Linked DNA regions of Diceros bicornis minor. The protein of the gene in region 1 purifies or fractionates together with the protein of each later gene. This does not show direct contact. Links are inferred from orthologs where the notes say so. Each region holds a gene or a part of one and is shown on either strand. Other genes may lie near its edges.

Region 1 (3,745 bases):
CTAGATTTTTAAACAAAATTCTGTGTGTCAGAACATGGTGCTGCAGGAATTACAAAAATGAGTAAGCCAGTCTCTGCCTTCAAGGAGCTTACGGTGCTACGGGAAGTAGAGCAGGAGATTATATAATATGAAGTTCAGATCAGTTTATTTGGCTTTTATTAATCAATTATGACATAAAGGATGGGAAGAACAATTGACTGAGACTTCATCCTTTTTTAAAAATTGAGGTAAAATTCATATAACATAAAATTAACCATTAGCCATTTTAAAATGTACAATTCAGAGGCATTTAGTTCATTGTATTTTAACAGAGCTCTGAAGGAAATCAAAATTTCAACAGAGAAGAGTCTAGAGAGCTGAAGCACCTCAGTCTCTAAATACTCCATATTACGTTGCACCCCAATTCTTTTTGTTCGAATGGATGCCCATTTCTGCTTGGCATGCTATCAATGCTGAATAAACTGGTCACCTATTCAAGTTATCTATGACATATTTCTTTAATAGAACTTGTATTAGGTGTTAATATCTAATTTGGAATTCTTCCAGCTGTGTATTTTCTTTATTGTTCCCTATGACTGTAAATTCCATGTGGACAGGTAACATAACTAGCTTGTTCACTGCTACATCCCTAGAGGAGAGCCCAGCACGTAACGGGTATTTAAAGAGCATATGCTATTGATTGATTACCTACTCCTGGGATTTTTATTTCTACTTATTCCTTATAGGTTCCCTCATGTCATAGCAGCGGCCAATATCTTGTACACGCAGCAAAGGCTTGGGGTTACAAATGTCCCTGGAGGGGACTAATCAAGCTAAATGAGAAATCCCGACCATTTTGAGCACCAAAGAAGGCAGCTGCTACGGAGTCGGACACGAGGTGGCGCTGTTGCCCTCATTCATGAATTTCCCTTTTCACCTGGCCTGGCGTCTCCCTATACCTGACCATCTAGCAATCACTAGAGAAGGAAAAGAGTAAGTAGATCAGCAACAAGTCCAGCTTTTACAGTTTCAGCAGAGGTTTCCTGCTGGCTGGTATGTGGTGAGTCCCGGAAACCTCAATGCCCGCAGACTTCCCTTTGTGGGGAGCCCGCCCAAACTCCATCCTTTGCTGGCAGCCACGCCCCACAGTGGGAAGGAGGGACGGAAAAGCATTTCCTTGAGGCTGGCACACCTTCCCTACCCAAACCGGTCATTTCTTTCTTTCCTTCTTTTTTTTTTTTTTTTTCTTTTCCTGGCTGGACCAGTTCCATCTGAAACCCCAGTGACCCGAGGAGGGACACGGTAGTGAACGGGGATTTGGGGGTACGGAGCGTTGGGAGGGGGATAGCAGGGATGCGTCTAAGGGTGGATTTTTGACATTTGGCCAGAAAACGAGGGAGGAGGTTGGGAGTGAGACGGTTGCGAGCGGCTGTTGTATATTATGTGAACAAACAATAATCACCAGGTGTATTAGTCTGTGTTTCTTTGGAACCAGCATCTGGTGGGTTTTGGCTTCCACGTTTTTATGACAAGAGACTAGACCTGCCTCAGCAGTCTTGGCAGAGAGAAGAGCAGCAAGAAAGCCTAGTGGTGAGGGGCCTCTGTGTATTTCTGGGGAGGGAGCAATCAGGAGAGTAGAGATGGAAACAAGCAGGGCACAGGAATTACTTGTCACGGGGCTACCTAGTCGTTCAGATGTGTGGGCTCACTGCTCTCAGCTTCGTCATGTGTGAAGCATAAATAATAATATAATTACCTCACAGGGTCGTTGTGATATTTAAAAGAGATAATATCTGTAACCATGCTTAAAAACTGTACGTGTAATATGCTGTTCCTTGGTGACCTAATTTGTTTTCTTCTTAATCTGTCTCCTCTTTTTCTGTGTCTCTTTCCTTTCTCACTATCAATGCCTCAACCTCTACCCCATTTTGTCTCCTTTCTTTCCCTTTCATTTCTGTGATCGTGGCTGCCTTCCGTCACGAATCCTCTCCCCATCTGAGTTTTTCTTACATTTCAGACCAAGCTTTCTTGCCACTACTTAGAGTCATCAGTAGTTGTGGAAATAAAGGCTACTGTAATGTGTGGCACAGCCACACTGAAATGCACCTGGACACAGGGCTTTGTGCTGTCGACCTCCTTTACCCTCCTCAGTACTCCTCACAGCCAGCTATGGGCCATCCAGGTCTTCATGAGACATGACCAAGTATTTGCTTCAGTGAAAATCGTATTCTTTTTTCAGTGCCTTCATCACTGTGTTAGTTTGCTAGGGCTGCTATAACAAAGTACCACAAACTGATTAGCTTAAACAATAGAAATTTATTCTCTCACAGTTCTGGAGGCTAGAAGTCTGAAATCAAGGTGTTGACAGGGTTGGTTCTTTCTGAGGGCTATGAGGGAAGGATCTGCCCCAGGCCTCTTTTTTGGCTTATAGATGGCAGTCTTCATGTTCACATGGTATCCTCCCTGCATATGTGTCTGTCTTCAAATTTCCCCCATTTTTAAGGACACCAGTCATATTGGATTAGGGCCCACCCTAATGACTTTATCTCTGTAAAGACCCTATTTCCAAATAAGGTCACATTCTGATGTACTGGAAACTAGGACTTGAATGTAAGAATTTTGGGTGGCACACTTCAACTCATGACAATTACTAGTTCTCTAAGTATGCACACATTCAATGTTAGTTGAGCATCCCATGTCTTTCTGTTGTCTTCTGCAGAAACTGTTTTCCCACCTTTCCCAGCCCCTCACAACCAGCTCCTGCAAGCATGTGCTCCAAACTTCTGCTGGGAGTTATGTGATTCTGCAGCTGTTTTGTTTTAACCTGAGTTTGTTAGTTTCCTATTGCTGCTCTAACAAATCACCACAAACTTGGTGGCTTAAAACAAGGCAGGGCAGCTTCAGACCAGACTGGCTGGATTTGTGGAATCTGCCTATAAAGCTGATGGAAAACAAAGTAGTAACGATAGATTTTCAGCCTTCCTTTAGCCACCCACCTCCTTCCTTGAACCGCAAGTGTCTGTGGTCTTTCCCCATAGGTCTCAATGCCTGACCCCTTTAGCCATACTTGGGGCTGGTATCTTAGTATGAGTCAAAATGAGTTCTGGTGGAGGAAGAAGGAAGAAGCAGAGTATTCACTATAATATTCTTAAAGCCCTGCAGTGCCAGCAATGAAAATACAGCGGGAGTATAAATGCTCTAACTTTCGACACATATGAGTTAGAGATTTCCAGAAGCTAGTCCAGACACATGTACAGCCCAAAGGACCAGCAGGCAGAAGAAACTATGAAAGTATATGCACATTATGAATTCCAAGAACCGGGATCTTCCTCCTCATTCTCATCCCTACAAAACTTAACTGAATTAAAAAAGGGATCAAATATCCAGTCAGCCTTATGAATGACGGAAAATTGTAGTGAAAAGAGCGCCAGATGGAGATTCAAGACGCACGATGCTAGTCGTAGCTTACATGCTAATTAGCTGTTGGAAGACAAATAAACTCTGTGCCTCGGTTTCCTCATCAGTAAATTATGGAGGTTAGGGTTTTTTGTTGCTTTCGAAGGGCTCTACTGGTCATACATGTTTAGACTTCTAGGGCCTTTGTGGAGCTCATGTTGCATTTCATAGTGTGCTTGTCAGAGAGAATAAGAAATGGAAGACAGGGTTGCTGTTTTTACTATTTTTGTTTTGGTTTCTGTAGCAGGGCGGTGTGACTACAGTGGCACAGAAGATATGGGTTATGGAGTGGTTACTTCCTTTACAGTGT
Region 2 (3,745 bases), on another chromosome or scaffold:
TGCTCCAGGCTGCCAGGCTGAATTCACTCCCCAGGTCAAGGGGACATCCACCGGCCTCTCCATTGGGAAAGATTGTTTTTCTCTTTTGTAACTAACAAGTGATCTGGGAGTGATCCATAATAATTTCAAGCGTGTGCATTTATTGAGCGCCTACTGCATGCCAGGCCCCGTGCAGGGCGCTCTCTATGGGACAGGAGGAGAATGACTTCCTCAGAGGCCCCGTCTGCGCCCCTCGCGGTGGGCTGCTCGCCTTCAGGAGCCAGACCAGACACCCCCTTGTCCCCCTGCTGGCCCCGAGCCCCAACACCCGGCACTGGCCCTGGGGCGCTTTTTTTGCAGCAGGCCTGGGTGTCCACTGTCCTTTCCCCAGGCGGCCTCCCAGCCATCGCCCCACGCGTCCTGCCTCCCCTTCCTGCTGCCCTTCCCGGTTCCCTGCGGCGGAAGCACCTGGCATACAGTAGGCGCTCAGTGAACGCTGGGTCCTAGTACTTTCCCGGCTGCCCAGAGGCGCCGAGACGTCTCAAGGATGAGCACGTGACCCGAGGTGCCCTCCCAGGCCTGGACACTGGAATGTGCCCGGGCCGGCGGGCGGTGGGGGGACAGGCACTGTCCGGGGGCGGCAGGGGCTCAGAGTCCTGTCCACCCCTCGTCCCCGCCCGGCCGCGGTCGCGCGGGTGGCATGGGACAGGGACCTGACCCAGCGGGGCCGGTTCAGAACAGCAAAAACTAGGCGGCCCATGACGGTAGGTGGGCGAGCAAAACCCGGCTCGGCCCCGAAACCACCTTCTCCCGTGCACGCAGCAGGCGCCCCGTAAAGCCCCAGACCTGCACTGGGGGGGGGGGGGGGGGGGCGGGAACGAGGGAGGAGGCTGGTTCGCCCAGTCGCAGATCTCCGCGGTGAGCACAGCCCGGCGAGGCCCTCTGACGTCACGCGGCCCTCTGACGTCAGGGGGCTTCAGCGAGGCAGCGTGGAAGTTTCCCACGCAGCAAACACGCGAAACGCGCTGTTTGCGGGTATAGTTACTGAAAATAAATAAAGCTACTTTACACTTATGCCAATTTGATGAAACTTACACTCGGCGTGACTTTCTAGAGCACCACGTATAAGAAAATCTCCTACCGTCACGCTTCCTTTGATTGTCTTTTATCATGTCTAAAACCCTCCGATGTTGACTAATTTTACCTCCCAAGAACGCCCTCACAGCCGCGGAGGATTGTGGGGGCAATATGCAAAACAAAGGGCCGGCCGCAGCCCCGCCCCCGGCGTCCTCTCCGCGGGTTGGCCCGGCTAGAAGGCGGGGCCTCCGCGGGCGGCCGCCGGCATCCCAGCGTGCCCCGCGGGCGCAGGGGGCCGCTCTGGCCGGGCACGGCGACTCGCTGGCGTCAGCAGGCCGCGGAGGCGGAAGATGGCGGCGGCGGCCGGGCGGTCGTGAGCGGCGGCGGCGGCGGAGACGGCCCATGGCGGCCGGGAGGCGCGCTCGGGGACCCGCGGGCCGCTAGGGCGCGACGCGGGGCGGCATGTCGGAGCACGCGGCGCCCGGGGCCCCGGCGCCCGGGCCCAACGGCGGCGGCGGCCCGGCCCCCGCGCGCGGGCCGCGCACCCCCAACCTGAACCCCAACCCGCTCATCAACGTGCGCGACCGGCTCTTCCACGCGCTCTTCTTCAAGATGGCTGTCACCTACTCGCGGCTCTTCCCGCCCGCCTTCCGCCGCCTCTTCGAGTTCTTCGTGTTGCTCAAGGTGACCGCGGCCCCGACCCCCGACCTTTGACCCCGGAGGCGGGCCCTCCCCCGGGCCTGCGACCTCTGACCCCACACGCCCGGGCAGCGAGCCCCTGGGGACCCTCCCTTAACCCTGCGACCTCTGACTCCTGCCCCGAGACGTCCGCCTGGGGAGCCCCGGGTGTCGCCCCGTGGTGGCCCTGGTCCCGACCCCAGGAGCTCCCTCCCCGCCGCGCCCACCCCTGGTCCCCGCCTCGCCAGGCCCCGACCCGCCGGGAGCCTCCTCCTGCCCTGTGACCCCGAGCACCCGCTCCCCACCCTCTGGGCCGGTCCTGACCCAGAACCGCAATCCCGGGCGGCCGCACCCCTGGACACGCCCCCGGCCCACCAGCTGCCCCGGGGGCGCTCCCGGTCCACCGCCTCCTCCTCCCGCCCCCCTTTCCTGGGGCTGCCCCCTCCTCGGGACCTTCCACTGCCCCACCCGAGTGTCCCTCCTCCGGGCGTCCCGGGAGTGTGACCTCGTTGAGGACATTCGCCGGCGTTAGTGGCGAAGTCACAGCAGCGCTGCGGCTCACGGCTCAGTCAGGGTCCTCCCGGGGGGCTCCGGGTTCCAGCGGGAGCGCGGCCCCGGGCCCTCCACGAAGGGTCTCCCTCGGGGGCAGCTGCGACCCCAGAGAGGGAGCTCGTGGGGCCAGGGTTCGGTTCCCGAGCACAGGGTGGTCCTAGCTGTCACCTGACACGGTGGGATGCTAACGTCGCCAAGTGGGCGCTGGGCTCCTGGGCACAGAAAGGGCTGATGTTGGCGGTCGAGGCGCGGGGGGTGCGGCCGGCAGGGTCGGTCAGGAGCCTGCGGCTGTTTGGGGTTTGGCGGAAAGAGGGCGAGTGGGGCTGCCCAACAGACCTGGGTGCGTCCCGGCCCCACCGCAACCTCGGGGAAGCCCCTGAGCCCCCCAGTCCCTCCTGCGAGGCTGACCTGGGCTGTCCGCCTTATGAGGCTGCGTGCAGGTGGCCTTCCCGCCCCTCCCTCCCCACAGCCCCCAGGACGGCTCGGGTCCCCTCGGGAGGCGGTGAGCAGCTGTGGAGAGTTACAGGATCGGGGTACCTTACTCAGGCTACTGGGGACAGTGAACAGAAGTCTGCGTGTGGGCGTCACCTCCTCGGGGACAGCGAGCACTGTCCTCCCCAGACAGAAGGAAGCACTGGGTCCGCAGGCTGACCCCTGTCACTTGAGGGGTGTGTTCTGTGCCAGGTGGCACCCTCCCCAGGGATCTCCATCTCCTCTGAGAGCACGTCCTGGTCACCTCAGCTCTGTGTACTGCTCCCCGATTTGAGAGCAGATGGGTGTTTGTGCCAACCTGGCGGACAGGATCCACACCCAGAGGGTCCCTGGGCAGGTGGCCCCCGAGGCTCTCAGCCCCCACGCTCCCTCTCTGCTGTGTCAGAGCCCAGAGGCCCCTCGTTCCTCGTGGATCTCCCCGGTTCCCTCGTCTACACAGCGAGGGCCCCTCATTCCTTGTGAATCTCCCCGGTTCCCTCGTCTACACAGTGAGGGCGGACCACTGGTTCTGAGTTGCCTCAGGTTGTGGAAAGCTCAGCTCCTTTGCTTCCTGCCCGCCCGGCTTCCGGTGCTCTTGCTGCGGAGACCGAGGTCCCCTCTCGGACTTCCTCTCGCTGGCCTCTTCCTGTGGCGCCTGTTCCGCTGAGCTCACGGCTGCGACCCGTCAGACCCCCTGTCTCCCCGCCATGCCTTGGGGTCGTGGAGGACCCGTGTCCCGTGCCAGCTGCTGGGGAGCGAGAGGCGGCCGGGCCTGTGTTCAGGGCCCTTAGAAGACCTCGCCTCCGCCCCCCCCGCCTCGGCTGCCACCTCTGCTGGTTCTCCTGGCACAGAGTCCTGAGCAGCTAGCATGGGGTACTTGGGCCCATCAAGTTGGACTCTGGACTGAGGGCATCCTGACTCTGCAGCCACCCAGGTGATGCCCGCAGGGAGAGGGGCACTGACACGTGCCCTTGCTACTTGCTTCCTC

What was found.
Region 2: the proteins of STYK1 (region 1) and TMEM259 purify together in Homo sapiens (affinity purification with mass spectrometry; 3 studies listed by BioGRID and IntAct, with this or other methods). This does not show direct contact. The link is inferred for Diceros bicornis minor from reciprocal best matches to the Homo sapiens genes STYK1 and TMEM259.

What each region holds. Positions count from the first base shown.
Region 1 is NC_080756.1:50,302,622-50,306,366, forward strand, and holds the start of STYK1 (tyrosine-protein kinase STYK1), read left to right. Parts: upstream 1-1,213; 5' UTR 1,214-1,281; intron 1,282-3,745. UniProt on the Homo sapiens protein: Probable tyrosine protein-kinase, which has strong transforming capabilities on a variety of cell lines. When overexpressed, it can also induce tumor cell invasion as well as metastasis in distant organs.
Region 2 is NW_026691553.1:560,257-564,001, reverse strand, and holds the start of TMEM259 (membralin), read left to right. Parts: upstream 1-1,421; 5' UTR 1,422-1,518; coding exon 1,519-1,740; intron 1,741-3,745. Other genes in the region: cleavage and polyadenylation specificity factor subunit 6-like, read right to left, coding at 1,121-1,151. UniProt on the Homo sapiens protein: May have a role in the ERAD pathway required for clearance of misfolded proteins in the endoplasmic reticulum (ER). Promotes survival of motor neurons, probably by protecting against ER stress.